Linked DNA regions of Kluyveromyces lactis. The protein of the gene in region 2 purifies or fractionates together with the protein of the main gene of each other region. This does not show direct contact. Links are inferred from orthologs where the notes say so. Each region holds a gene or a part of one and is shown on either strand. Other genes may lie near its edges.

Region 1 (3,176 bases), on a different chromosome or scaffold from region 2:
TGATGTTGCTGTTGAGGTGTTTGAAACATAACATTGTGTAAGGGGGACGGTTGAACTGGTTTATCCTTTTTCCCAGATCTCCTTATAGATTTTTTCTTCATTGGGGTCTTTGCATTCTTCTTTGGTGTTTTCTTATAAGCTGATGGTGATGTAATCCTTGCATTCGGGTCCAATTTCTTGATCTGAGATACTTTTGATCTTCTAGGAGGCATATCATTTGGATCAGGAATAAATTCTACAATCCTTTTGACAACCTTATTGTTAATATTGTATTTTTCCACCAGATATTTAGTCGATTCCCAGGGTATCCAGGTCCCCTGGAATCGTCCATAACCACCCTGAATCTTTTCATGTTTAATTTCATTGGCCTCTTTCTCCAAGATCTTGGTTCTCTGAGCCTTTGTAAACGAACCGGCTTTGAAAACTTGCGTTATGTTCAACCAATTATCGTTGCATCTTCTCATGATAAGGCATGGAGGTTTATCTTTGGTATAACATTCATATACATCAACGCCCGCGTATGTAGCAACTTCAATGAAAGTTTCCGATTCGCTGTCATAACCACTTGTCTCCGCCATAGTAGGTTCCTCACTGATTTTCTTTAAACTCCCATCGATCTGCCTTTCATCGATCATCGAAGAGGATGCTCCCGTGGATGAAGAAGAATTATTGGTAGCACCACTATTAGCTCCTAATAAATTAGAATTGAACGGTTTCAAAAGTGTATCATTCTCAGAATGATGATGAGTGCCCATGTGCATTTGAAGGATAGATTCCTTGTCAAAAACGTTGCCGCTATGATGCGACAAGTGTTGTTCCATAATTACACGAAAGAAATAAATGCACACGAAATCCTAATTGTTTTAGACAAAACAAAGCAAAGAAAAGCACGCCAGAGTCAACAAAGCGTTTCGAGTCGAGTGTCACCTTCTGCTGCTGCTTCTGCTTCTGCTCCTGGCAATGTGATCTCAAGCTCGCTCACTTTGTAAAATTCAACGTAAAATATACCACGCAGTTACGGTTATTCTAGCTTTTCCACCAGTGCCCAAAAATGTATCCAGATATCGGAGTAGCAGACCAAATCAATCTCAACTGGAATGCTCTGATATTTAGCTAAGTTCACGTAGCCTACAGACACTGTTAATAACAAAGGTATACACAAATCATAAATGACATTGTAAAGTGCGTGAGAAAGTCTGCTTTCAAAAGATTATAATCTTTATTTTAAACTGTGATCAAATCTCTTTACCCAATTGGGAAAAGAAAGATTAGATGCCTCACCAAAAAAAAAATCTCAGATCTCACATTTCAAACCTCACTCCAGTGTGTTCCCATATTCAAAGCTGAGGCAACCTTTCAAAACGCCTAGAAGGGTCCGTATGACACGAAGGAGTAGGGGGGCAGAAACAGTCTTAAAAGTGAAAAAATAAGAGAAAAATCAATAATCAGATTATATTCACGTGTCAGTATTACCCGGGACACTCACGTGATTCGAAACTTTTAAGTGTTACCCGGTAAATGAATTTTATGAAATGTCGAGAATGCTTTTTCCAGCTCAATGAAATTTGGAAAAACTGAAGTTATATTGTAATTGGAATTTAAATATTGTCAATGCAATTGTATGCATTTGGTTCGTCCTACTAGGGAGTGTTACATAACTCAAACTACAGATACGCAGATAAGCAACAAAGTCTAATTCATACTTTTTTCCCTCACATTTTTCCTTCTCCAGACAGACAGAGTCCTAATTTTTTGGTATATTGTATATTGTTCCGGCCCCACCCTTTCCTACGATTAAGTTACTACGGTTTGAGATACCTAAAGAAATACGACAGCACGGGCACACTATAATTGGTAAAACAGATCAATAAGTTATAACATAAAATGCTTCCATTATATTTATTGACCAATGCAAAGGGTCAAACAATGCATGTTGAACTAAAAAATGGAGAAACTGTGGAAGGTACGCTATCTGATGTAGACAATTGGATGAACTTGACACTTTCCAATGTCACTCATGTAGCTAGTGGAGAGACTTTGAAATTACCAAGCTTCTATTTGAAAGGTTCTTTCATCAAGTATGTTAATTTGCAAGATGATATCATAGACAAGGTAAAACAACAATGGGGTCAAAACAGAGGCGGTAAAGACGATAGAAGAAGAAATAACAACTACAATAATAACAATAATTATTATCAGAATAGGGATGGTAACAGAAGAGGTGGTAGAAGAAACTATCAAAACTCAGGTAACAGAAGGGATTACAACAACAACAATAATAATAATAATAATAATAATAACAATACTCACAGCCATAACAATGCAGGATCTCGTCGTTATAATATTCAAAATAGATCACAATACGATGCATCATCCAATCCACAGCTTTCGTATTCGCAGGCGTCAAACAATAGTAATCAAACTCCACAATTTTGATTTAACCTCTTTTCTCAGCATTTAATTCTTAAGTATTTGTGTGTCTACATGGTTACATATTCAATCACTTTTATTGCGGTTAAAGAGACTATTTTGTTGGCTTGGACGGTCAAAAGTCTATAAAAACATCTGTTTCGATTGCATTCGATGCGATATCCTAAACCTTTTTCTCGTTACTCCTTTCACACTTTTGAGATTTAAAACTGAATTTGGGTTATGAAATTAAAAGAACTACCTATTAATTATGATTCAGAGTTAGTGAACCTTAAGTTCAAAGCAGTATATCAGTGCTTTATATATTAAGAGTATGTGAGCATGGGTACCGTGGAAAAGATCAAATGTTGTTATTTTTTAAATTACTCTATACAAAAATGCTTGGTTTAGAAAGTCCATGCTAGATATGCAGTATTATATAGGAGAAATATGAGACTCCTGAAGAGAGCCGGACTTTTTTTTTTTGGCCTCACTTTAAATATAAGAGGCGAACTTATTTAGCCTTGTTATATTCATTCAGCTTACCGATGAACCACAATGAGCTTAGGTAACTTAAAGATCCAAATGCTGTCCAGCAGAGAATGTTGAATAACGTACTATAACAGACAAATAGGAAAGATGAGATGAAATCTCTGTATCTGGCAACAAAAATCAAATACAAAATAGAGTACGCTTCCATATACCATGCAACTGCACCACCCATATGAAATGCCTTCCATCTCCATGAATGACATGCTTCTAGAACC
Region 2 (3,228 bases):
AAAGAAAGATAGTGGGGGGAAGACATGACAAATCGTGGTAACTACCCATATATATATATGTATGTATATTTAAGTACACGGTGTATTATGATGATGATGATGATTACGGTGCTTTGGTAAGTTAAAGTGGGTTGGATTTCCACCATCTTACGACAAAGACTGAACAGCTGGACAATTAGAAATTAATGACGAGACTCTATGAAAGCAACGGAGCTTGAATTTGCACAAAGATTTTTTTTTTATTCAGGTAGATTACTCCAGGGAGAATAATTTTTCCGAAACAATCAATGGTAATTTCTGGGGGAAATTAGTGGAAGCCTCACACGGAAAATCTCGAAGTGGTTTTTCCGGGATGCTTGAACAATCAGTAGGACTATTTCTCCGGATTCCTATAAAAAAAACACACACTCATGATATCGTGGCATGCGATATATTTGTTGTTTTTGCGAAACTTGCAAACTCTAATTCTTGCCCGTTCTCAGCTGAGAGATATTCCGCACCATGATTGTCCAGTTGGAAGCCATATTTAACACATAACATTTCTTTTGTCCGCAGGGCTATGGTGGGGTCATGGGGTATATCTGGAGGTTTCGTATAGGCATTTGGTGGGGTGGTTGAAAAGGGAATGAGGTGGATAATCATATTTCGCACAGGCTTTTAACGTTGCGCAGTACAGGGATATCATTACACTGGATAAAGCTAGATAAATTCTATATCTTCTTGTTCTAGTCGTTACAGTGGGATATCCAAAGTCCTCTGCGTGTACGTAAGAGGTAACTAAAGACATATCTATCAACATGTCTCGGATAATTATAGCTAAGATCGGTGATCGTAGCACCAAAACAATTTTTTTTATATCAATAAGTATGACAAGTTGTTCGCTGGTTTAGTTTCTTTTTTTGAAGCCTGGAGGGGCTTGGAACCGGCTGGGGCGTACCTGACTATTAGAATTAAACCTACTGGGAGCTCCAGAATTCGTATTGATAGGTTTATGACTTGGCTTCGTAACTCTATTTGAACTTTCTGAGTTAGTTGAAGTTATATTAGATCCATTCGTTCCAACGTTCATCTTGTTAGAAGTCTTCCCTTGACGAGCCTTTTTCGCATTATCTAATTTTTTTGCATTCTTCTTCTGGACTTCGATTCGTTCCTTCTTAGAGAGTTGGGGAGGTGACTCAACCGAGGTACTCAACACATGCTCACCCCGTAAAATTATTAGTCCAAAAGTCCTTCTTTCGACTTGCACATTGCTTGACAAGTTTCCTCCACTTTTAAGTACTTCTATGATTTGTTTATGAGGCATGCGTTCCTCTACACAATCTCCCATTACAAGGTTCATATATGCATCAAAAGCCATAAGTTGGCCAATATAAACCCTTCCGTCATGGGTAGCGACTCGTATTCTATAATCTATCAAATCTGATAGCTTCGTTTCCTTCTTTTTAACTTCAACTTGCGACATCGTCCTTGTATCTTTTGTATGATATGCTTAGAGATATAACTATTCTTCTTGGTGAACAAAGAAAGTGAAAAAGACTGTAAACTCGATTGTAAGAGGTATCCTTATATCATGCACAAAAAAGCGGTCCGTAGCAGTGATTCTTTATAGGACCAACGCAAGTTACTCATTGATCGTGAAACTAGTTAATGTTTTAATTTTCGATACAACATGATAGTTAGAATTCATCCACTATGCGGCTATGAAAAAAAATGATCACGTGGAAAATTATGTTTCTTTGGGATTTGAGATAATATGAATTATATTTGGTTCGCAAGATGCGAAAAGGAAACAAATACTGGTAAGCATCTTTAGATCAAAAAAAGCATTGCGTGAGCCTAGGTCGTACTCCTCGAACATCAGCACACTAATCATATCAACAGATACAAAGTTTGCAAATATGGCTGAAGAAATTAAGGATAAGCAAGAATTTCAAATAGGTGCAGAAGAGCCTGACTCTTCCAACGTTGCTTCACAAGCTAAAAGAAGTGCTGAAAGTGAGCTTGCTTCTACCGCTGATGCCAACGATAAGAAATCTAAAAAGAAGAGAAGAAGAAGAAACTATGATGATTTGGATGAAAAAATTGCTCAAGAAGACAAGGCATCTGCTACTTCTGGTGCTAACAAGGAAGAAGATAGTGAAAGTGAAGTCGATGACGAAAAATTAGATCAAATGATGGTAAAAGAAGATGAAGAAGAAGACGACCTTTCAGAAATCGATAGTTCCAATATTATAACTACTGGTAGGAGAACTCGTGGTAAGATTATTGATTATAAAAAGACTGCCGAGAAATTGGAAAAAAATGGTGAGGTTGGCAAGGATGATGATGATGATGAAGACGATGAAGAAAATGACGAAGAGTTCAAGGATCCAGCTGCTCCTGCCCCTGCCCCTGCTAGTCCGACTGAACCCAAATAGAAATTTGAATTAAAAATTTACTCAAGCGCATATAAAAGTTTGTAGTTTCACTAAATCTCCATGTTTGACATTATGGTAGTGTTTCATTTAAAAGAACAATGGATACGACGCAATGAACTGAGAAGGTATTTTGCAGTTAAGAAGTTTCAGGATGTCCTTCCAAACAGCTAGTATTTGCATAATTATGGCAGTCAATGTTATATACATAAAACAAGTGTCTAACTTAATCGGGATAAATGTCCCAGTCGATGATAATTCTGCTTCCCTTTTTCTTTCCGGGGCTTATACTTTCTATATAAACACCCTATAAGGAATGACCATAATACACGTTTAGAATTCCTAACAGCAGTTGTTTGTACTCTTTTTGTGTTTTTCGTTTGGTGCCGGTGTCAAAGAGATCGTAGGTCCCTTTGGAGCGTTGGCATTGTTTCCTGAGGCGTCATTCAAGTCTAGTTGATTTTTGGAAATCATTTGGTAGATAGCAGTAATCAATGCTCTGAACGCTTCGTCAACATTGTCAGCATTCAATGCACTAGTTTCCGTGAAAAGAAGTTGATTTTCTTGAGCATAATTCCTAGCCTCATCTGTTGGAACCGCACGTTTATGATCCAAATCAGATTTATTACCAATGAGTCCAACAGCGACATTTTCATCGGCATTTTGTTTCAATTCAGCCAACCAGTGGTTACAATTTTCGTAGGAACTTGATTTAGTGATATCATAAACTATTAAAGCGCCAACTGCCGCCCTGTAGTATGCTGTGGTGATTGCGCGGTAACGTTCTTGGCCAGCAGTATCCCAAATTTGGGCC
Region 3 (3,995 bases), on a different chromosome or scaffold from region 2:
TATGATCCAAGAAAAGTTTAGACAAAAGACATAGATTACGGCACCATGTCCTCTGTTTCCGACCATCAATTTCAAAGAAGGAAACATAGTCATCTCTATATATCTCGTTACCTGGAGGATGTCGTAGAGTACATTTCTTTCTGTATCGTTCATATTGTTTCTTTGATCCGAAATATTGTAGGGAAAAATCATCGATATATACCACATCCTCATCAGTCAACTCTATTGGATAAGGTGAAAAGTACCATGGCTCTATTTCATATTTGCCCATAATCACCTTGTTCAAATTTCTAACTCTAGCCACCTCATTCTGATTCTGTGTCATTGACCCCGATGTACGAAGCTTCTTTATTTCATCTTCTCTGGAAATATCTTCATTAGGAATCCCTTGTACATTCAAATTATCCAAATCCATCACATCCCCACCATCCGGAGTAGCACTGGCTGCTTGTGGTGTAGCACTTTTATTCTGTTGCTGCTTCTTTTTCTTCGAGTCTTTCTTCTCTTCAAGCTCTTTAGGCCTAGGAAAAATGACTTCCTTGTCTATCTGTAACCTATCAGCAGTGATCCATTCATCTAGACGTTTATTGAAGTCTTCATAATGCACGTAGAACTTAGGTGGATCTCTTCTGCTGTTAATGGATAGAATTTCAGCAAGACGATCTTGACCATCTTTTAGTACCCATGACTTGCATCCAACGAAAATCTCATCGATGCTGTCAACCTTCTGGGGAATCCCAGGTTCCTTTTCTTCGCCGTGACTCATGTATTAGCGAGCTCGCCCAAAATATTTGTTAAACAGTTGCCTTGCCTTACTAGTTCCTCTTACAGAGGTGCTCTGTTTTTGGATTTGGTTTATTGCGTAACTAATAAGTTCAAATATTTTGAAGATGCTAAATTTCAGTTAATTTATTCAGATTACCGTATTAAAGCAAACACCATGCTTGAACAAACATACAAGAAAACCTGACGTTCCCTGTCCTTGACTACGTGACTGTAATCATATGACAGTTAGAGCAAACCTCGCAATTAATGCAGACTGAAATATTCTAGATAGATGGAAAACGGGGACCTAATAGAGTTAAACTACAAACTTCTACATAAGTCGCTGCAAGTAGACACCAGCTAGATTAGAATCTTTGAGATATTAACGTGGGATTCCACGGCAAGCCAGGGAATGTATCTTCTGTAGCATCAGGGACTTGCTTCCATATTTTGATGCTTTTGTCTCCTTCCCCTGTGATGAGTCTTGTTCCTGTGACATCAAAGGTGCTGCATAAAATCGATCGCTCACTTTCAAGTGAGCCAGCAACTTCAGTTGTCATCATACTTTGGTATTTGTGTCCTGTTTTGTAATCGTAAAAGCACAAAGTACCGTCATCTCCACCAGCTAATAGTACATTATCGTGATTAATTGATACGGTATTCAAAATCCCAGTGTTCTGGGATTGAAAGTTGGTTAATAGCTGTCCTTCGGGCAATTTCCAGGATCTGACGTCGTTCGTAGATACACTGGCAAAGCTAAACTCTGCTGGGTGTAGCGTCAAGTCTCTGATGTTTCTACTATGGTGCGTTAAAACTTTGCTTGCCTTCCCTGCAATGATATCCCAAAGTCTAACTGTTGCATCCCCGGAACAACTGATTATTTGTGGGTCAACGGGAAGGCATTTGACTTTATTTATAGGGCTTTTATGACCGGGCAGAACCATTATCTCAGATCTTGATCGTATATCCCACAACCTTACTACAGCATCACGACCAGCAGTAGCTATTATATCAAGGCTCGGATGAACATCAACGGTATGCACGCCAGATAAATGACCGTGAAAATCCCTAATTGCAGTATTTCTTTCTAGATCCCAACATTTTACAAGTTTATCTTCGCTTGCTGAGAACATATAAGGATGTCTCTTTGAGATAGCAATATCTCGAACACTCATTACATGCCCGATTAGAGTAATTTTCAACTTTCCCGCAGCTAAATCCCAGATTTTAATGGTTGTATCGTTGCTACCAGTAGCAAACCATTCATTGTCAACGGGGTCCACGCATACACATCTTACCCATCCAGTATGACCATTTATTACCTTACTGAGTTTCCATGGTGCATGCCATTGCGGTTTATAACTTCGAGTCTTTTCATAACGTTCCATCAATGAAATCTGCTGATGTGGCTGTTGGAACACTCTTCGTACTAGTTGGTCGCCTGGTTTTGTGGTATGTTTGACTAATGCTTGAGAGCTTTCGTTTGCAACAGTTTTCGACACCTCAACTAATTCACTGTACCTTTCTAAAACAGTCTTTTCTTGATCCAGGCACTTCTGTAACGACTCAGGTAAATAATCAGCATGTTTAAATTCATTATTCCACCGAGTTTGAACGTAAACATCATCTGCTACCTTCGAAGGTTCAGAGCTACGGCTGGATGTATTCATTGGTACTTATTAGTTGTCTATCAGTTCGATTAAGTCGTGTAACTCTCTTTCATCTTTGTATATGTCACTTCGTTAACTTTTCATAATATCCATCATACAAAACGGTTCTTTTCGTTTCTTGAAAAATTTCGAGCTCATCTCATCTCATCTCATCACATTGAAGCAGAAGTCAGTTGTTCAAATCTGGAAGCTGCGCTTCTTAATTGCTTATAACAAGTACCAGGTATTAGTACTCTCGTGTTAAAGTATAGTATTGGTATAATGTCAGACCAATCTTTGAAAAGAGAGTCCGAAGCTGCTGCCCAGCAAGAAGATATTAAGAGGACAAAAGTTGGTGAAGGTATAAATGAAGGTATAAACAATAACAACATCACTGAAAAGGATGTTGGTATCACGCATTACTTATCAATGGATAATGTTGGTTTCAATGGTCAGATCAAACAAAGGTACACTGACTTTTTAGTCAATGAAATCACCAAGCAAGGCGAAGTTGTGCATTTGACTGACAAAGGTTTTAATATGCCAAAGAAGCCAAAGCCAACGAGAGAACAAATCGAGCAATCGCAAAAAGAAGAACTTGAGAAACGCCAAGGATTTAAGGTGGATGAAGGAATTAGAAATGAACTTGTTGAACTTTTGGGAGAAGAGGATGTTCAAAAAATTGAAGCTGTGTACCGCTCAAATAAAAAGATTGAAACATCGAAGGCATTCGATGATAAACTTGAAAGGACTAAAATACATCAACTGCTACGTAGAGCTTTCGACAACAAGTTAGAATCTGTAACGACGGATTCAAACCATTTCATTGTTGGAATGGCTTCTCGCCAAACACGTGTTAGCAAAGAAGAATTGATCGAACAAACTAAGGATGCAAACGGTGTCGAAAACTGGGGTTATGGTCCATCAAAATCGTTTATTCATTTTACTGTCTATAAGGAAAACAAAGATACTATGGATGTCGCTAATACTTTATCAAAATTCATGAGAATTCCAACAAGGTTGATCAGATTTTCTGGAACAAAGGATCGTAGGGCTGTCACTTGTCAAAGAATGTCTTTATCCAAAATTGGTTTGGACAGATTAAACGGACTAAACAAGGGCTTGAAGGGTGTCGTTCTAGGTGGCTACAAATTCGAAGATGAGCCATTGAACTTGGGAGATCTACAGGGAAACGAATTCACTATTGCTATCAGAGATGTTTCATTGAAGAATGAAGGCGATGATTTGGATGATATCCTAGCCAATGGCATGAAATCCTTGGAACAAAATGGGTTCATCAATTATTTCGGTATGCAAAGATTTGGTACGTTCAGTGTTTCAACGCATCAAATTGGGCAAGTCCTATTATCAGGTAACTGGAAACAAGCTGTTGATTTGATCATGGCTGAACAAGAAAATGTTTTGCCAATTTCCAAAGAAGCTAGAAGAATTTGGGCACAAACCAGGAACCCAATCTATGCAGCCAAAGCAATGCCACATCAGTGTTTGGCAGAAAATGCCATTCTCAATGCACTATGTCATGAGGAGAAATGTGAAACATCAAACGATTACCCTATTAGC
Region 4 (4,853 bases), on a different chromosome or scaffold from region 2:
ATTTGCGTTCATCAGTTTCTATAAAATTTATAAACACTTAATACTTCCCACCCTGCTTTTCTGTGTATCACTAATTCACTTTTCCATCCGCTGAACTTCATCTTACTTGCCACAGTTTCAGGTTTATTTCTAGCACAAAACAATATGTACGCTACTCCGTTGCAGCTAAGAATTCTGTCCAATCCATTCAATAGTCTCTGTGTGACCACCATCCCATCATCACCACCATCCAATGCTAGAAAGAGCCACTCATCATCACGAACAGCATGATTTGAATGAGGCAGTTCTGGTACAGTTTCTGCAGGTACATATGGTGGATTAAAGACAAGCAGGTCGACCTCATTTTCCCTTATTGAAGACGTAAGGTCTGTTTGTAATACATCAAAATGGCTATTCTTGCAACCATTCTTCGAACAAGTGTCTAAGGTAGCGTCCAATGCCCAAGGGTTCAAATCAGTTGCCAAATAAAGTCCATTGGCGTTTGGTATACCATTTTGCATAAGAAACGTAGAGACTATCCCAGAACCAGAACCAATTTCTATAGTCAATGGTACTGCGTCATTGAACCTGTTATTCAACCAACTCAGATCAGCTTCTAATGCATCTAATAAAAGAAAAGAGTCCTCGCTTGGCTCGTATACTTTATTATAATCATAAGAGACGTATGGTGTAGCTAGCATCGCCCTGTTATCCTAAGCCCTGATGAGCTATAGCTCGCATCAATATCTGTTCTGCACCTGTATCTTTTCAAACATGGAAGTCATCGCATATATAATATTGTATTTGAAAAGTTGATATTGAACAATAACGTATGCAAAAGGTCATCTAAAAGAAAGTAATTAAATTGAAGCTTAACAACTAGTCTACTGTTTGATACAACTATTAATCACCATTTTCAGAGAATCGACAATCAGTTGCTTGTTTGTGGTTGAGAAAGATGCAATTAAAGGTCAAGACATTAACAGGGAAGGAAATCTCCGTAGATGTTCAAAGTTCAGAAACGGTCTATCATATCAAAGAGCTATTAGAAGAAAAAGAGGGTATTCCACCATCACAGCAGAAGTTGATCTTCCAGGGCAAACAAATGTATGTTAATTAACTGATAATTCAGAACTGAGAAGAGTTTGATATCAAATTAATGTAGGGACTCTTTTACTAACTAGTAAGTAATGCTATCTTTAAATCAGAGATGATAACGCAACAATCGGCAGTGCCGACTTGCAAGATGGATCTCTTTTACATCTTGTTCTAACTTTAAGAGGCGGTTGTTGAGAGCCATGTGTCATTGCATTGCGAAACCTCAAGATACGTATGTGTATAAGTATTTTGCAGATAAATACCTGGAGGAATTACTCTGCATTTAATAAAACGACTATAATTATTGGAAGCTAACACTATGAATGACATAATTTACATTTACACGACCGTCCAATTATCAAACAAAGGAAGGATGTAACACATGCTTGTTGCTTTTCCTTGTATGCATGAATGAACCTTATAAATACATAATGATTCAGATATCAAATTTAGTGCGAACATTATAATTGTAGAAACAGATGAACTTAACGACAACGATGCAAACAAAAGTAAGAAAAACACGGATAACTTACCTGACTATACTGTAACATGGGTGACAATAGTTTATCCAATGAAGCCATCACTGCCGATAATATTTTGAAGGATGCCTTTAGCCAAAAGAAGCAGATTGCAGCTACTACGAAGGCAGATATATTAGATTTGGAAGAACTGAAAGACTGGCAACGAAGGAAAAGAACAGAGTATGAGACAGTTTTGAAAAGAAATAGGTTAGACCTTCGTCAATGGATGAGGTATGCTCAATTTGAATTTGATCAGAAAGATATACGAAGAGCTAGGTCCATTTATGAACGCGCTCTTCTTGTTGATCATGGGTTTATTCCACTATGGATTCAATACATCGACAGTGAAATCAAATGGAAAAATATCAACCATGCAAGGAACTTGTTAGACAGAGCAACAAACGCTCTTCCTCGTGTTGATAAGCTCTGGTTCAAATATCTTTTATTGGAAGAATCTTTGGGAAATCAGGGTATTGTACGAGGCATTTATACAAGATGGTGTTCATTTGAACCTGGTCCCGATGCATGGGACTCCTTCATCGAGTTCGAAACAAGGTGCTTGAATTTTGAAAATGTCAGGAACATTTACTCGAAGTTTGTTCTAGTCCATCCTCAAATAGATACCTGGTTGAAATGGGTTCGTTTTGAACAAACTCATGGAGATATATCATCCGTACGAACAGTGTTCTCATTCGCGCTAGACACACTCACAAGTTTCAGCGGAACACCACTGGTAGATATTGAACGAGTTATTGGTAGCTTCGCTTCCTGGGAAGCTTCTCAGGGAGAGTATGAACGATCTAGAACGTTATACCGACTAGCAGTTGAAAGATGGCCAATTTCTGAAGCATTAAAGGAACAGCAGATTCAGTTCGAGAAGAAGTTCGGCTCTTCGAAAAATATGGAGGACATAGTAATCGCTAAAAGGAAAGCCGAGTACGAGCAATATCTAAAATCAGATCCCTATCATTATTCTACTTGGTGGGTCTATATTGACCTGGTTGAGGAAAAATATCAAGAGCAATTGACATCAGCTTTCCAGTCGTTCATTGAATTGGCAAAGCCGAAGTCCCTGGTAAAGGATTCGAGCTGGAAGAGGTACATAAGAATCTGCGTACGATACTTGGTCTATCTAGAGCTCACCATTAATGATTTGCCTACGATACGCTCGGTTTATCAAGACATCCTCGACATCATTCCACATAAGAAGTTTACATTCGGTAAACTGTGGATAATGTATGCAGAATTCGAAATTAGGCAGAACAACTTGCTGAAAGCAAGAAAAATTCTGGGTGTGAGCTTAGGAAAGTCCCCCAAGCCAAAAGTGTTTAAATATTACATCAATTTGGAGATAAGGCTAAAAGAGTTTGATAGAGTGAGAAAGCTATACGAGAAATACATCGATTTCAATCCTAGTTCAGTGCAATCATGGTTGGATTATGCAGAATTAGAAGAAAATTTAGGAGATGAAGATAGATCAAGAGGGATCTATGATATCTCCATGAGCAATAATGTTGGATTATCTGAATCGGACCAGCTGATTGTCATTCAGCGCTATATCGCTTTTGAAACTGATGCAGCAGAATATGAAAAGGCTAGAGAGTTGTACGAGAAGTATTTGATTTTGAGTAGATATGACGTGAACATATGGATAAACCAGGCGCTTTTCGAGAGCACTATTCCAACTGAGACCCAACTAATAGCCTATCAACAATCTCATCAAGACGGGAATTTTGACGACGATGGCGAAGAGGAGTTCAGTTTTGAAATTACACCTGAGAATAAGCATCACACCAGGGCTATTTTTGAGAAGGCAATTTCATATTTCAAAGAACATAATGAAGATAAGAAACGCCAGCAAGTTTTACAATCTCTCCTGGAGTATGAGAAAGTTCATGGTAATCAAGAAACTTTGGAAAAGGTCAATGCTAGACAACCAAGTTTGGTTAGGGAAAAAGTTACTATCGATAACATTGAGCAAGAGTCATATAAATTGGATTTTCCGGACGATCGTGTTGCTCAACCTCCTATTGCTCGAAATCTTCTAGCTTTGGCAAAACAATGGGAGAAAAATTCCAGCTGATATGTAACTTTATATTCATATACAGATAATACAATTGTAGATTTAGAACACGCATTTAATCAGGTTGGCATATAGGCTATTGAGAAAAAATACGAATTGTATTAATTATTCGTTTCATTATCGGTAAAACTTTGTGGCAACTGGTTTGACGGTATCGAACTGGGTGTTGATATCGTAGAAGGGGTAAGCCCAGGTGCATTCATTGTCGGTACAGATCCTGGGGGCATTAATCCTGGAGGAACGTTGCCTGGTGCTGCTGCCAATCCTGGTGCTGCCAATCCTGGTGCTGCCAATCCTGGTGCTGCCAATCCTGGTGCTGCCAATCCTGGTGCTGCCAATCCTGGTGCTGCCAATCCTGGTGCTGCCATTCCTGGTGCTGCCATTCCTGGTGCTGCCATTCCGGGAGGAGATAAACCTGGGGGTGCCATTCCTGGAGTAGCAATATTTAAGTTTCCTTCAGTGATACCTATTCCAGACGTTGAATTTTCTGCAGCCAGAGATTCGGATCTGGCTGAAACAGAAGAAGGTGAACCTACAGAAGAGTTGGAGCCCGCTGTAGCAGTAATCCCATCACCTCCTAGTCCATCAATAGAAATTTGCATCATAGGGGTTAGTCTATGAGTATTTACGATAGTGCTTTGGTCGTGGATGTTAGATTCTGCATTTTTGAATCTTTTGGCTGCGTCGGAAGCGACCTCTATTCCAATTCTCTTTCTTCCGAATGTTTGTACATAGTTATCTTCTCTTAGTGTACCATTCAAAACAGCAAGCTCTCTCAACTGACCTCGCTTCAAATCATTTTGACCTTCAGGTGAAGTGATCGCCTTGACGACTATACTTTCACAGGCCTTGATTCCTAATGGTATTTTGTCCTCTACATCTGCAATAATGATGCAGTGCAATGGCTCATTCATATTCATTGCACCTTTCGGTAGGTCTGCAGCAGCTTTACCTGATCTGACGGATCCTCGTCCTCTGATGGAAATCTTACATCCCGATTCTTGTTGAAGCTTCTTCAAAGTATTACCACGAGGCCCTAGTAATAGCCCCACAAAATTTATATCCGGATAATCCTCCGTAGGGATGTAATATTTGTCTTGAAACCTTGTAGGTCTTCTATAGTCGTCCGGTGTAACGAAGTTTGGTATCATTTTCAGAGCAATCTCAACTAG
Region 5 (5,192 bases), on a different chromosome or scaffold from region 2:
AGCAGCTTCGATCTCAAAACCATGGTTGGCATCAGGGGGATATTCTGCATATTTAAGCAAGGATTTATCGAACTGGAATGATATAGCGAATGCAGTGTTAGGCGGGATAATCATTGCCCTTTCCAAATGTGTCGGTCTCTCACGATCTCTTGCCGGGGAATAGAAGGTAGATTTTACTACTGAATCTAGAGTTAGTTCAGGATCATCACTCTCTATGGCTAAGGAGGACAAGTATACTCCCATGAACCAAGGCAAGGATTCAAAATAAACTAATTCCACAGCTTCGTTGGAAGGATTACGAAATACTGATCTTAACCCGCCACGGTCTTGGCCATAACCAGTGAGAGCTCTGGAAACGTATATTGGAGTCTTTTTGGAGGGTAGTACACTCTTAGAGTCTGTCGTTTCCAAGCGAACATCATGTGGTTTGTTATTGTTGAGATCGAAACAGTTGTCGTCGGTTGCAAAATATGATTCGTCGACCTGTATCATAACGTCCCAATGTGAGGGAACGTGAACACATATTTTTGAGCTTTGTTCGCCAAGCAAGCTGCCTCCACGGATTTTCTTACCAAATAGTTTTGAGATGCTGAAACTAACTTCTTTGCTTTGAGGTAACGGGAAACATTGGAACGCGTCGTGTGGTCTATTCGTGTCACAACGAAGTTCGTCGCCTGGTAAAGGCTTCGGAATTGGTCTGTCAGCTCTGGCCAAAGCATTTGGTACGTTGACCACTGTTTCGATAAATTCTTCCATAACAAAGTGGCAATTGGCAGTTGATTCGTCACAAACAGTATTGACATCAATCGACAGACTGTGCCAATTTGAATCAAAGATCTTGTGGCCATCTAACAAAGAGGAGATACCAGATTTCCCTCTTGTTGGTAAAAGTTTTACAAATGGGGTCAAATTTTCAGTACAAACCGGTTCGTTGGCTAAAGTTGCTCTCATGAGGTAAAGATGGTTGCTTTGATTCAGTAGTGGGATCGCTTCGTCTTCTTTCGGTAAGAATGATGATACCGGAAACGTCGTCTTTGAAGTGTCAATGAAATTGATGGAAGCACAGAACAATCCACTTAACGAATTGGCCAACGTTATCCATGATTTCAACGCTTCTTCCTTCGATGGTGCTTCCACAATAGCCCATAATTCCACACCTGTTCCTCCAGATTTCAACCCGTTGTGTGGAAGCTGGCCCCATTCTTGTGAATCCCATAGCCCATGTGTAAATCTCAAGTGTAACTGTCTGGTATTAGTCTGTGACATAATGGGCCCAACGGGCTTCGGGAAAACTGTGTGATGAGAGTATTCACTGGATTCGTGCTGGTCTCTATCTATACCAAATGGCTCTGATTGCATATAGAACTGAAAACTTGCAAGCAAAAAGTTGTTAGGCAAGGGAGTTAGATCCAGATGCTCTCGAAAATTATACTCAATAGGATGCTCTAGTGAAAGAAACTTCGAGGACTGTGTTATTCTCGATGATTCCCCAGGCTCTGCATTCCAGCTTTCATCTATAACATCTTGCTGAACTGATTCTGTTTCGTTGTCAACTGGATTAACTTCAAAGTCTACTTCAGCCGTCACGATGGCTGCTAGAAGCAAAACTGGAATCCAATTTTGTAACCTCATGCGGTATGGACCCAGAGTATAATACTTTTCTAAAAGTTAGGCTATTTTCTGGCCTCTTAACTAAACTATCCTCTTTTCTCTGTTGAGAAGTATCGTTCTTTGTTTTGTATATGTGTTTATAATTAAAGATTCGAGTTACAACTTAGTAACAATTTTGATGTCAAGAACCTTTGAATCAAAAGGAAGAAAGGTATAACTGAAAGGCAAGCACCAATCAGGATCTTTATTGCTATTGCCGAGTTTGGTATTAAACAGCTGTACTTAAAATGGAAGCTATCAAGTTCGAAAAGTCGGGCCAGCGACATTCTCTTACAGGACAATACACTGCTCCCAGAGCCATATTGGAATCGACTGTAGGGAAAGATGAGGGGGATGATGAGTTGACAGCCAACCAGAAGCAACGAAGCTTGTATAATAAACAGTCTGATTATCATAAGAGAAGGTTCCTTAGGAATTTGGATGAAGAAGTGGATGAAGAGCAAGTGAAAGATGTGAAAAGAAGGAAAACCGATAAGGATGGTGATAAGGAAGAGGAAAGTGGCGGTGGATATACGATGCCCAAGACTTCGCAGCATATTATAACTGAGCTCTCGGAAGAGATGGTTACTGAAGTTCCAGGGGTACGTAATCTTCAGTTCTTTAAGCCTTCAGACAGACAACATTTCGCAATTTTGTTTGATGAAAGGTCTCCAGAAGATATGACTGAAGAGGAAAGGAAACAGAAACAGGTTTTAAAATTGGTACTTAAGGTGAAAAATGGGTTACCAAGCTCTAGGAAAATAGCTCTCAGAGCACTCACTCAAAAGGCACCCTCTTTCGGGGCACCATTGTTATTTGATTCGATCTTGCCCATTCTTCTCGATAAAACACTTGAAGATGAAGAGCATCAACTAATGTTGAAACTTATGGATAGAATTCTTTTCCAGCTCCAGGATTTGGTAAAACCATATACACATAAGCTCCTAATAGTATTATGTCCTATGCTTATAGATCCTGTGCCCTTGACTAGATCTACAGGTAGAGATATTATAACTACTTTGGCAAAAGCCGTGGGACTACCGACAATGATATACACAATGAGACCAGATCTCGACCATGAGGATGAGTATGTGCGAAACACGACGGCGAGAGCAATGGCCGTTGTATCGAAAGCCTTCGGGGTAAGTCAAACAATACCATTCCTACGATTGGTTTGTAGATCGAAAAAGAGCTGGAAGGCAAGACATACTGGGATAAAGATAATTCAGCAAATTGCTATTTTAGTAGGGATTGGTAGCTTACCATACCTCGACGATCTTATCGCATGTATAGAGAAGGGATTTCAAGATGAACATCCTCCAGTGAGAATCATAGCCGCTCAAACAGTGTCATCATTGGCACAAAGCTGCCAGCCATATGGTATTGAGCGCTTTAATCCGGTCCTCGAACCACTTTGGAGAGGTGTTAAACAAAACAGGGGAAGAGAACTAGCTGCATTTTTGAAGGCTCTAGGATTTCTCATTCCGTTGATGGATCCCGAATATGCGTCGTATTACGCTGAAGAAGTGATGAAGATTGTAAAGAGAGAATTCAATTCACCGAACGAAGATATGAAGAAAACGGTTCTATTTGTTATACAAAAGCTTTCCGTGACTGAAGGTGTAACACCTCAGTATCTGAGAAAAGAGCTAGCAGCAGAGTTTTTCAAACAATTTTGGGTTCGTAGATCGGCTTTGGATCGTCAACTCAACAACATAGTAACATTTACTACTGTTTTATTGGCTAATAAGACTGGAGCTGCATTCACGCTTGAAAAGCTTATATATCCATTAAAGGATGAATCTGAACCGTTCAGAACAATGGGTGCACATGCAGTTAACAGAGTTGTGAAAGCATTAGGAATGACAGATGTTGATGAAAGGCTTGAAGCGAGGTTGCTTGATGCTTTACTTATTGCATTCCAAGATCAAACGAATGGTGAGAGAATTGTCTACAGATCTATTGGAACTGTCGCCAAATCTTTGAATACCAGAATGAAACCGTATATTTCGCCGGTGTCAAGTATTATTCTAGAACATTTGAAACACAAAAAACCTTTGGTTAGAACACATGCGGCGAGTTTATGTGCCCTCTTGATCCCGGTTTTCAAACACTGTGAAGAAACAGCTCTTATCAATAAATTCAACATTATCCTTTTTGAATCGTTAGGCGAAGTTTATCCAGAGGTGTTAGCTGCAATCATTTCCGCAATGGACAAAGCTGCTGCACAGATAAGGCTAACTGACTTACAACCACCTCCGAATCAAATTTTACTATCATTGACACCAATTTTGAGAAACAACCATCCTTTAGTCCAGGAATCTACTGTTAAACTTGTTGGAAGAATTGCCAGGCGTGGGCCTGAATATGTTTCTCCTAAAGAATGGATGCGCATTTGTTCTGAGCTTTTGGAAATGTTAAAAAGTCCTGTGAAGTCCATCAGGGTGGCAGCGAACAGAACATTTGGATATATTGCCAAAGCGATAGGACCTCAGGATGTTTTGGTAACGTTGTTAAATAATTTGAAGGTGCAAGAACGTCAACTTCGTGTTAACACCTCTATTGCAATTGGTATCGTTGCTAAGACATGTGGGCCATTTGTTGTCATACCTGCATTGATGAATGAATACAGAACACCTGACACAAACGTACAGAACGGTATTTTAAAGGCACTTGCCTTTATTTTAGAATACATTGGTCCCATGTCTAAGGATTACATTTATCCACTTATACCGTTGTTGCAGGATGCTCTAACAGATAGGGACTTGGTTCATCGACAAACTGCAGCAACCTGCATAAAGCATTTAGCTTTCAATTGTGCAGGAAGAGGATTAGAGGACGCGTTCATCCATTGCATGAATTTATTATTGCCAAACGTCTTTGAAACTTCACCTCATGTTATTTCCAGAATCCTAGAGGGGCTAGAAGGACTAAGAATGGCTCTAGGACCAGGTGTTTCTATGAATTATGCCTGGGGAGGTTTATTTCATCCTGCTAAGAATGTTCGGAACGCATATTGGAAACTATATAACGGAGCATACGTCGCTCAACCAGATGCTTTGGTTCCGTACTACCCTGTCAATGAGGTAGAAGAGCTTAACTTGTTATTATAACTAGAAAATTGCAGTAATTATTATGTAGTTAAAAATTAAAGATTCTATTGGTTTTAAACTAAGTTAGTGATCTCTCAAGGATCGGAAGAAGTAGAACTCCTGTCGTCTTCCTCACCTTCTTCAATATCATCGGTATCATCACTTTCATCGCTGCTTGATTCTTCTAATTGGGCAACATCAGATTCCGTTTCTGATTCTTCCTCTATAACGATCTTCGTTTTCTTCGGTTTCTCTGGGATATCTGCAAAGAATTCATCCAAACTTTGTAGTTTGTAAGTTTTCCCTTTTGAGGATGTGAAAGTTTTTGGCTCTGGACTTGATGATTTGCTGGATATTGGCGAGGAGGCCTTAGGTTGCTGGTAATTAGCCCTAGTCCTACTAGCGAAGAAAGTATTAGATGAAATGCTAGATTTATTCTTCATGAAATTG
Region 6 (4,581 bases), on a different chromosome or scaffold from region 2:
ATACCCCTTCACTATTCGTCAATGTCAGGGAGTAACTTTTTCAAAGCTGCGTACTATTGTCAGTGTGCATTCTCCCCGTTCTTGACTCTTCTGTTGGTACAACGTGAATTTAACATTTGGTTATTTACTCTTGGCTTAATTGTATCCTGTATTTTACTTTTGATGTTCTTCAAATGGAAACTAACGGTCAAGGAAAAATATATCTCTTTATTTGGATTTGTTCTTTCAATTTCTTCCATATCATTTGTTGTTGGGTTGGTGCTTGACATTTTAACGAATTGGGCGGAGACGTTCAATCTCTCAGAAGCTATACTTGGTTTGACAGTTTTTGCGTGGGGAAATTCTATTGGTGATTTGGTCTCTAATGTCACATTCACCAGAATTGGAGTATTGGAGATTGCATTGGGTTCCTGTTTTGGTAGCCCTCTACTATATTTCCTATTTGGTGTTGGTGTAGATGGCATGCTCGTCCTTCTTCAGAGGGAATACCCTGAAGGTACAGCAATATGGAGTAGGCACATAGATTTCGATGTTAATCGTGGACTAGTCTTCAATTGTATCGGCATAGTCATAGCGTTTGGCATATTTATTTTTGTGGTCCCCCTAAATAATTGGAAGTTAGACAAGAGAGTTGGCTGTTTACTCTTATTCCTATATGGAATTATCACTACTATAAACGTCTATTTTGAATTGAATAAGTGAACTTGTAGACATAAACTAATTAAATAGGAACTTTCATCTGTCCCTGATTTGTGTAGGCTTCAGTAAAGAGTTCCATATCATCTGGCAAGTAGTTTGAAATAAACAATTCTACTTCAGACAAAACAGCCTTACCATACTTTGCAGCAGATGGAATGATATCATTTATAATATGCTTCCGCCTCTTTAAATAGGTGATATTATTATCGTACCATACTAGAGAACAATAAAGGTACCAGAACTTTGGATTTTCCAGGAACGATTTCCATTTGCTATTGATTATGTGTTGATAAACTTTAGTTTCAACTAAAGCACGCGGAAAACGCTCGTACATTTCATTTACCATGTTCAATAAAATGTATTGTCTGTTATGATCATCTTCTTTACTTGCCTTTTTCATCAATACATCCAGTAAATTGTCGGAGAATTCGATGTTGTTTGTTAAACCACTGAAGCGACTTTTTGAATTGGCAGAACTCAAGAACAAGTTGAATTGTATGTAGTCAATGAATATTTCGAAATCATCGGAAGTAGTTAGATCATTTGAGAATGCGAGTGAAATATCATCATATAATTGATGGAGTTCTGAAATCTGCCCTAATCTAATGAGAACCGAGGATAACATTGTGACAATCCTGGAACGCTTGTGAACGTAGGATAAAGCCTGTAACATCACGTTTTTGGCACCAATGAAATCGTTCAAATCATCAATTAAATAGTTGGCGTACTGCAACCATATATGGTCATAATGAGCTAAAGGGAGCACAGATCGCTGAAACTGAAGCTTGATTAGGTCTGAAATTTTCTTTTCCCTGATATATTCGAAATATTTCGTCCAGACGATGATTTCCTGGTGTGGAATAAGTTCTTCCGCAGACATGTAGTATCTTTTGGTGATCTTACTTTCAAACAATTCATATATCTCCATAACTTCATACTGTACGACAAGGAATAACTCTTTAGAAACTTTCTTCAAAGCTTTCTTGGCGACTTGCAAATGTGGGCCTCTGCGACCATTCAATTGTGTGTCTATCTTCAACTTTTTCCATAGCTCTTTATCTTCCGCATAGAACCTTAATTGTGAAAGATCTTTAACATCTTCAATGGTTTGTAGCCACAAATCATAAAAACTGGAATATTCATATAACGGTATTTCTATCACTTTTCTTAACGTTCGAATGTAATGTTGCGGTGTCTTGCATCGCAGTTTTATTTCGTTAAGATACATGTGCCAAAATTCAGCACCGAAGAAATGCAATCCAATGTAGGATTCCGCAAAGGCATATTTTTGGAAAAGTTGCTTATCACTGGGCATAATTTTATTGCAGATCTTCAAGTATTCTACCCATATTAACAATGACCTATTGTTGAAATACTGAAGAGCATTCTCGAATATAGCGTGAAACTTACCAAAATTCCCTAGTTTATACTCCAATAGTCCGTATTCGACATGATAATTCTCCAAAAAGGGGAACTGGTAGAGTAATGATTCATATGTCGATCGTACTAGCTGAAGAAGGTCTTTATTAATAGATTTTGAGATAGGTGATGCCTTCAGCAATAAATGATTCAAAAGATTCTCCCAATGGTGCAAACTTTTTGGATATTTGCATATTAAGAGACTGAATTCAGATAGCTTTTGATCACCTAATAGATTAAGATCATCTTCCATTTCCTTTTTCACAGTACTGGCAGAGCAACGATGATTTCAGTGCGTTTAGCTGCGTGCTCTACTTTGTTATGTTGGCTCATGAGTTAAACTACGTGTATATATTTCATGTTCTTGATAATGGTCATTTTTCTATTTTGCATCTATAAACAAAGAAATAATTGAACAGACCTACAACTGACATGGCAAAGAGATCTTTGTTCGGAACTCATTCCAATTCATTGCTTCATCGCAGTATATATATAGGTTTGTTTTATGCAAAAAGGGTCTTAATTAAGTGCATGTTTTTTCTATGATTAAACATTATTTGAATAAGTAAATATGCAAATTCATACATCAGGATAAAATTAAAAGCGTAAACGGAAACAAGAGAAGACATTAATAAGTGAATTATAAGGCAAGGGAAAAGGGTGTTTATATTGAATGCCGAGAGTTCATGCCCATTCAATTTTCTTCCACTCTCGTGTTTTAGAAGGAATGTTCGTCATTAAGTGATTTTGTCAAGATTGATAGAGTCTAAGATCTCTTTGGCACCATTTTGGGTTAGTTTAGCAGCAAGTTCTTTACCACAATTTATACTATCTTCCCTTTCGTTAGAAATGGTGACCTTATGTTCGATTTCTACCCATTCAGTACCTTCGACGTTGATAACAATACCTTTTAAGGTTAACACTTTTGTACTTTCGTCGTAGTTGGATACAACACCAATTGGAACTGAGCAACCACCTTCTAGAGTTCTGAGTAAAGAACGCTCGGCTAGACAGCAGATAGTCGTCGAAGGATCACAAATTTCTTTTAGAATTTTTTTCATCTTCTCGTCATCTTTTCTGATTTCAATACCAAGCGCACCTTGACCGACTGCGTAGCACATTGTGTCAGCATTAAAACGCTGGGTAATTCTAGAATCAAGTCCACTTCTCATTAGGCCGGCACTGGCCAAAACGATACATTTGTAAGGAGTCTCTGGATCATCTAATTTCGCCAGCCTGGTTTGAATATTACCTCTGATACTTTCGAATTTCAGGTTTGGAAATTTTCTCTTTAATTGAGCAGATCTTCTTACTGATGAAGTTCCGACCACCGAGCCGTCAGGCAACTCTGACAAGCTACTGTACGGAGAACCAATTGGCATGACTAGAGCATCTGTAGGATCTACACGTTTCGTGATACCGCCTAATTCGAATCCATCAGGTAGAAGAGTTGGCATATCTTTCAATGAATGAACAATCAGATCGATACGAGATTCATCATCTTTGTACAATAAATCTTCTAGTTCTTTCGTCCACACAGCCTTCCCACCAAAAGAATACAAGGGCTTAGACTGAACTTGGTCGCCAAGAGTGTGTACAGATAGAAGTGGACATTCGATATGGGAAAATTTCGACTCAATCATGACTTTGACTTGCTCAGACTGAACAACAGCCAACTTCGAACGTCTGCCACCAATACGAACAGTTTCTTTAGATTCCATTATGATAGCTTAATATATAACTAAAACCCAGTACAACACTTTAATGAATGTACGATGTTATCTTTCACTTTTAAAGCTGAGTCCCTTTTGTTAAATGATTGAATAGAGATGGAGACCAAACTGTCTATAATACAGGTATTTTAATCCGAACAGGAACTTTATAAGAGTTAAAAACACTTCAATGACTAGCAATCAGACACGAAATCAATAGAATCCCTTTATATTTACAAGAACGGTGGATTCTGACTGAGGTTGTTAATTAAAGAGTTTAACTTTAATATCCTAATGTAAAGACAAAGGATAAACAACCTTTCTTTTTTTAAATCTTATTACAACTATCCGAAATGCTATTCAACACCAACCAGTTGAATTTCACGGGTCCACCAATATTAGCAGCAATTTCCAATGCAAAGGTATAGCGTCCACTATCAATGAAAATATATCAGATTTGTCAAGGGCTATCCCTCTGTGTATCATCAACGTCTTCAAATAAAAGCGCTTTTATGTGTTGATATCTGGTTTTGTTTAAAATTTTCATCTTGAAAGATGAGGTTGAAAGTCATTATGTGGTGCAAGGATTGATCACTAAGCGGCCGAAAACTGGAAGGAGTGTTTATTGGTCGAGAATAATGACCGATGGATCTAAAGAGCAATTGATGATATTTGTCTAAGTTATCAAGTAAGCACTCAATGAGGGCAGCTAGCTGAACTATATTTAGTGAGCATAGGCCAAGATATATCA
Region 7 (5,173 bases), on a different chromosome or scaffold from region 2:
ACATCAAGCTCGGCATATGTGGATTGGAACGATTGGTATAACTGTTGCTCCTTTCTTGTTATCAAGGGGACGAAACAACCTATGGTTCCTTGTAGTCCGATCCATAAGATGGCTGGTCGATCGGACATATTCATATGGTTCACAATCTCAAATTTCATCGGAGTATCGTTCATGTACATATGGCACAACGTTTCTAAGGTATATTGGCAAGCTTTAATGTTAGATGCGACTCTAGTGTCGCTCTCATAGTTCACCCTAAGGACCCAACAGTTACCAAACCTATCCCCACCGATAACACTCGATACATCTATGAACTTGACTGTAGTAACATGCCTTTTCACAATGTCATCTGCTACTCCAATGAAGCTGTTATTATCTATATCATACTTGAAGATCGTAACAGATTCTCTAATATCACCAACTGCTAACATGGTTCCATCCCATTGGTCTAATGCAGTTACTTGGGTAATATATGGTGGCATTTCGGTGATGCTTTTCCTCAACAATTGTTTTTTACCTAGTCCAAATAGGACAACATTGCCAAGAATGCAACATGCCAATTTATCTCCAAACGAAACCATGGCATTGACCTTACTATGCACCATTGTTTCATGAATGTATTGGGTTTCAAGAACGTTGTTCTTCACTCGAATTTGAATCACAATAAATTTCCCTGATTCAGTAGATATGACAATATATTTAACATTTGTACCGAAATTGCAACTACAGACAGCATTAAAGACCTCTTTAGCAATAATCACGACCGTATTCCCATTGTTTGTTGCCAATAGCTTATCATCGCGAATAGCTGATAGACTGGTTTCTTTATTAGCTGTCTTTGAAATAACATATGATAACGAATTGTCCGTTGTATCTGAAAGGATCCGTTGTGATTGATAACCAACGATTTCGTACTTCTCACTTGCATCTTCATCCTCATCTTCATCCTCATCTTCATCCTCTTCTTCATTGCCAGCGTTTTTAAGTTCGTCATTAACAAGGGTATACTTTTTCTCATTGAACCAGTTACTCCAGGACAAAAAGTTATCTAATTTGCCGATTAGGAGTTGCCCTTTGCTGGTTATGGAACAGCAGCCGTTGCGCTTGATATCATCCGTGATAAAAGCATTTATATGTTTCAAGGTTATCCCCTCATCTGTTTTCAAAGGACGTAATGTGATTTTATCATCAATTTCGTAAGTTACCCAAGATATGCTTGAATTCAATACCACTAGTGGAGTGAAATCCGAAATCTTCTTCTTGAAATCGTCTATTTTTGAATCATTTTCTCCAGGTTCATCATCATCATCATCTTTGTGATTGATATCTATATTGTCCAAGAGATTTACCTGGACGGGCTTCGTTCCGACAAATCTAGTACGTACATCGAACACTGTGCCATCATTGATATTGAGTTTAGATGACAGATAAACACCACTTTTCATACCTACGTGGATCTTAAGATCCGACGTGTCCCGCATGAAAAGTAGAGAGTGCGGTTTTGATATTAGTGACTGAATAGCACAGATAGTGAAAAAATCTGGATGTTTACTCTGTAAGTTGAGAATCTGCAGACTAGAATCTTCACATCCTAATACACAATAGCCTGACTTTTGACCGGCGAGCAATGCAATAGAATTCACTGTAGAATCCATCTCCACTCGATCCTGTAATTCGTTTAACGAATCTTCTATGATTTCAAAATAGCATATTTCATGATTTGTTAAAGCGACAACTAACTGTGTCTCATTACAAAATGCTGTCACGATGCCAACACCAGCTGGTGGATACCATTCAAGTTTTTTGGTGTATGGACCATCATGCATTTCAATAATTTGTAAAAGACAATCCCGAGTAACTTGAATAATACTTCTTTGAACCATAGCGCCAACAAACAATGATGGTTTGTTCAAAATAAATGGGTTTGAATCTCCACCAAAATCTTCGACAGTTCCCTCATGGATCTTCAAGATGGTCGTTGAGGTTTCCATAGAAAGAAATATCAGACTGTGAGTTTCGTTTTTAGGAATTCTAACGGTCCAAAGTTTTGATGGTATTCTAGGTAATGTAGTTGATATAAGTTCTTCAAAATCAACCGCAGAAGTCAATTTAACAAGATTCTCAGTTTGATTGGCTGCAGCCAATATCGTGAGTGGTGTCGAATTTGATGCATGAAATGACGTCAAGGGATTTAAAGAAGTTAAGGAGTCAAGAATGGATAGGTTTTTCAAAGTGGACTCTGTTTCAATAAATGATCTCCTTCCCGGGGTATAAGATGTAATTTTTTCTAGATCTTCACCAAGACTTTCGAACTGTGTTAAATAAGAGGTCCCGAATTCTGATACGTTGAAAAGAGCACCTGACTTGAAAATGTGGATGTCTTCAGAAGTGGGGAGTGTATCAAAGTATGCAATTTCAAGAACTGGCGCCTTAGTTTCTTCATCAGGGATAATTCCGACCTTGTACATATCTCCGTGGTTAGACTGCATTAGGATGAAAAAATCTTTCTTCAATTTATGAATAGTACCGTTGATGATATTAGTTGACGAAACAGTTTTTCTGACGGGGAGTTGAACAGACACTTCATAAAAGCCTTCTAAGTCTATCAGAGTCAAGTATCCATCATAACCACAAATAACAAATGGATTTACCGAATCTTGATCAGTTTCATCATTCGGTCTAGTTTTAATCTTATACTGTTGTAAATTTGGGCATTGCATAACGAAATTGATGGATTTATCCTCTAAAAGATGCTCTTTCCGGAGTAGCAACGTGTTAAGACCCAAATCCATTGTATAAAAAGACAAATAGTAATCATTTGTCCCAGATTCTACCTCTATGGCAGCATTCACCGGATTATCAAAACTTACATCACAAGCTGCCGATGCCAAAGTGATTCTATCACTTCGTTGAATCTCTATAGGAGAACCAACAACCAATTTCCCACGTTGCCAGTCAGCCAACACGCACATCTTTGAACGCTCAATCCCACTGAAAAATACACATCTACTCTGTGGATCCGAAACCATTTGATATTGAGGTACAAACCTTCTGATCCCAGATCTGGAAATCGGTTCGTTTGCCAAAGTACGCACGTACACTTTCCCGCTCACGGAATCCCTCTCAAACTGCCAAAATGTTAAATTCCCAGAATCAGTTATCAACACCAAAATCGTATGTGAACATCTATCCATATTCAACTTGGTCATAGAAAGAATAGTAGCTGCTATAGGCCATTTACCCAACGCATCCAATGTTCCATTGCTAACATCGTACAATTCGACACAATCCTGTGTAGCTAGACATAATTGCAGTTCCTTCCGCTTCTTCGATGACCTCGGTCCCTTAACACTTGTTGTATCAGCTTCTGCTGTCGCTAATGATGATCTATCCAAAGTAAAATCACCGATGCAGGAATGAACGTAGTTCCTATGTCGTTGTAAAACAGTGTGCCATAGCAACACTTCAGAGTCCTGAGTCATCCGATCTTCGTTAGCGGGTAACTAAACACACGCTTCAGACGATGATCAGAGGTGTATACTGATGGTAATCAGTAGTGTTGTTCGTCAACTTGCACTCAAGAAGTGCGCTGTTGTTAGTTACTTTGTTTACTTTCAGATTTGGTTTTTTGCCGCCCTTATGAAGAAGTTAGGAAATACTATTTCAAAAACTTACACGTGACCAACAAATCCCAAAAAGTCAACAACATGTTACCCTGACATCACGTCACACGAAAAGATGCGATCACGTGACCAGAATGACATGAGACTCCACATTGTTTCGGAAAAACTTCTGTTGGAGCAGGAGCGAAGTGCTCGTTCAAAGCGGAATAAGAAAACACAGAAACATACGCAAAGGCTGTTTATCGCTCCATATGGACGGAAAAACTTACGATGAAGAGAGCGTACAGGCATGCTTGTACGTTGAGAAAGAAAGGCACACAGTCATTGTTTTAATCCATTACGAGATCAGCATGTAATTCGATACTACTTGTTCCCTTACCGGCACTGGCTCTGGCACTGGTGTCGTTAAACGGTATCACGTTTTGGTAACCCCACAAATGTGCACCTGATGGTGCAGAAACGTAAATATGGTTCACCAAGTTCAAAGCACAAGGCGTATTACGCTACTAACTCTAAGTAGGTGTTTCTCTTCTTCAGAAAAGAAAAACACCGTATGAGGATTCAAATGCCATAGCTTGACTGGTAGACACTCTGTATTGGTTTTTTTGACTTTCTCTTCTGGTCAGAGGAGCAAGTATGAGAAAACTCTTTGTCTGTCTCTACACGTTGATTTATACATTGTTACTGGGGAAATATTAATCGGCCGCATACAGATATCGGGTGGACTCATATTGGCAGATCAGCTCTGTGTGTGTGTTTATTTTTTTCTTCTTCCTCTCTGTGTGTCCGTTCCTTTTCACCAGGAAAAACCTTAATAATATATAATAACGGAAACATGACATATGCTAAAACTTGGTAAGTACGAAATGTTTTCTTCTAGGATAAAAGGCTGAACTCTAGAGTGTAATTTACTACACCAAAGCAAATTTGCCATCCGAACCAACCAGAGACGGTATAAGGTTAAGATCAGATTACAACAAAGCAGTGCTAGTTACTATACTCAGTACTTTTTCAAGATTTATCAGAGAGGAAGGCGAATATTTCCGGTTTTGTGGGAAAATTAACATCAATAACCAATAGCAAACTAGTCGCAATGGAGGTTTACGTGCGTATGAATGATGATTTAGAGTACGATTATGCGTTTCAAGTACAAAAAGATGATACTTTAGAACAAAAAATTGCCTTAATATTTAATAAGGAAAAGGGTCTTTCAAGGTTTATGGTTTTGAAGCCATCAATTTTTTATAAGAACGAACCATCTGGTTTCAGGAAATCCATGCATCCTGGTTTCTTAACTGAGAATGGATGTTTATTGTTCGATTACTCTGCAGATGATTCAGAGTATTTAGAGGATTTGGAAGTTTCAAAGAAAACCGTTTGGGAACAATTGTGGCCTGGTCAATTAGTATTACCAAAATGGGAGAAGGACTGGAAAACAATCTGGACTTTTGTAACTATAATGCTGGTATGGTTGTACACTGATTTACCAGATTGTATTTCTCCAACGCCAGGTATCTGTCTTACAAATCAACTTTCTAAGAGATTTGCTA

What was found.
Region 1: the proteins of SMB1 (region 2) and LSM4 purify together in Saccharomyces cerevisiae (affinity purification with mass spectrometry; 3 studies listed by BioGRID). This does not show direct contact. The link is inferred for Kluyveromyces lactis from reciprocal best matches to the Saccharomyces cerevisiae genes SMB1 and LSM4.
Region 3: the proteins of SMB1 (region 2) and PRP46 purify together in Saccharomyces cerevisiae (affinity purification with mass spectrometry; 3 studies listed by BioGRID). This does not show direct contact. The link is inferred for Kluyveromyces lactis from reciprocal best matches to the Saccharomyces cerevisiae genes SMB1 and PRP46.
Region 4: the proteins of SMB1 (region 2) and CLF1 purify together in Saccharomyces cerevisiae (affinity purification with mass spectrometry; 4 studies listed by BioGRID). This does not show direct contact. The link is inferred for Kluyveromyces lactis from reciprocal best matches to the Saccharomyces cerevisiae genes SMB1 and CLF1.
Region 5: the proteins of SMB1 (region 2) and HSH155 purify together in Saccharomyces cerevisiae (affinity purification with mass spectrometry; 4 studies listed by BioGRID). This does not show direct contact. The link is inferred for Kluyveromyces lactis from reciprocal best matches to the Saccharomyces cerevisiae genes SMB1 and HSH155.
Region 6: the proteins of SMB1 (region 2) and PRP42 purify together in Saccharomyces cerevisiae (affinity purification with mass spectrometry; 3 studies listed by BioGRID). This does not show direct contact. The link is inferred for Kluyveromyces lactis from reciprocal best matches to the Saccharomyces cerevisiae genes SMB1 and PRP42.
Region 7: the proteins of SMB1 (region 2) and RSE1 purify together in Saccharomyces cerevisiae (affinity purification with mass spectrometry; 4 studies listed by BioGRID). This does not show direct contact. The link is inferred for Kluyveromyces lactis from reciprocal best matches to the Saccharomyces cerevisiae genes SMB1 and RSE1.

What each region holds. Positions count from the first base shown.
Region 1 is NC_006041.1:1,854,503-1,857,678, forward strand, and holds LSM4 (U6 snRNA complex subunit LSM4), read left to right. Parts: upstream 1-1,884; coding exon 1,885-2,436; downstream 2,437-3,176. Other genes in the region: SBF complex DNA-binding subunit SWI4, read right to left, coding at 1-821; TMN3 (Tmn3p), read right to left, coding at 2,924-3,176. UniProt on the Saccharomyces cerevisiae protein: Component of LSm protein complexes, which are involved in RNA processing and may function in a chaperone-like manner. Component of the cytoplasmic LSM1-LSM7 complex which is involved in mRNA degradation by activating the decapping step.
Region 2 is NC_006038.1:47,637-50,864, forward strand, and holds SMB1 (mRNA splicing protein SMB1), read right to left. Parts: upstream 1,463-3,228; coding exon 887-1,462; downstream 1-886. Other genes in the region: CHZ1 (Chz1p), read left to right, coding at 1,899-2,417; Rab family GTPase YPT31, read right to left, coding at 2,757-3,228. UniProt on the Saccharomyces cerevisiae protein: Plays a role in pre-mRNA splicing as a core component of the spliceosomal U1, U2, U4 and U5 small nuclear ribonucleoproteins (snRNPs), the building blocks of the spliceosome.
Region 3 is NC_006042.1:1,033,578-1,037,572, forward strand, and holds PRP46 (mRNA splicing protein PRP46), read right to left. Parts: upstream 2,436-3,995; coding exon 1,131-2,435; downstream 1-1,130. Other genes in the region: NuA4 histone acetyltransferase complex catalytic subunit ESA1, read right to left, coding at 1-766; pseudouridine synthase PUS7, read left to right, coding at 2,697-3,995. UniProt on the Saccharomyces cerevisiae protein: Involved in pre-mRNA splicing. May also be required for cell cycle progression at G2/M.
Region 4 is NC_006042.1:1,643,966-1,648,818, forward strand, and holds CLF1 (Clf1p), read left to right. Parts: upstream 1-1,626; coding exon 1,627-3,681; downstream 3,682-4,853. Other genes in the region: MTQ2 (S-adenosylmethionine-dependent methyltransferase), read right to left, coding at 12-680; NEDD8 family protein RUB1, read left to right, coding at 938-1,086, 1,188-1,272; mRNA splicing protein MSL5, read right to left, coding at 3,783-4,853. UniProt on the Saccharomyces cerevisiae protein: Involved in pre-mRNA splicing and cell cycle progression. Required for the spliceosome assembly by promoting the functional integration of the U4/U6.U5 tri-snRNP particle into the U1-, U2-dependent pre-spliceosome.
Region 5 is NC_006037.1:833,755-838,946, forward strand, and holds HSH155 (U2 snRNP complex subunit HSH155), read left to right. Parts: upstream 1-1,898; coding exon 1,899-4,763; downstream 4,764-5,192. Other genes in the region: GPI-anchor transamidase subunit GPI16, read right to left, coding at 1-1,632; APL6 (AP-3 complex subunit beta), read right to left, coding at 4,838-5,192. UniProt on the Saccharomyces cerevisiae protein: Contacts pre-mRNA on both sides of the branch site early in spliceosome assembly.
Region 6 is NC_006039.1:1,318,484-1,323,064, reverse strand, and holds PRP42 (mRNA splicing protein PRP42), read right to left. Parts: upstream 2,372-4,581; coding exon 722-2,371; downstream 1-721. Other genes in the region: YCX1 (Ycx1p), read left to right, coding at 1-702; HEM3 (hydroxymethylbilane synthase), read right to left, coding at 2,856-3,839. UniProt on the Saccharomyces cerevisiae protein: Essential component of the U1 snRNP particle, which recognizes and binds the 5'-splice site of pre-mRNA. Together with other non-snRNP factors, U1 snRNP forms the spliceosomal commitment complex, that targets pre-mRNA to the splicing pathway.
Region 7 is NC_006037.1:720,526-725,698, reverse strand, and holds the start of RSE1 (U2 snRNP complex subunit RSE1), read right to left. Parts: upstream 3,483-5,173; coding exon 1-3,482. Other genes in the region: GSF2 (Gsf2p), read left to right, coding at 4,717-5,173. UniProt on the Saccharomyces cerevisiae protein: Involved in G2/M transition. Required for pre-mRNA splicing and endoplasmic reticulum (ER) to Golgi secretion pathway. U2 snRNPs associated protein required for the pre-spliceosome assembly.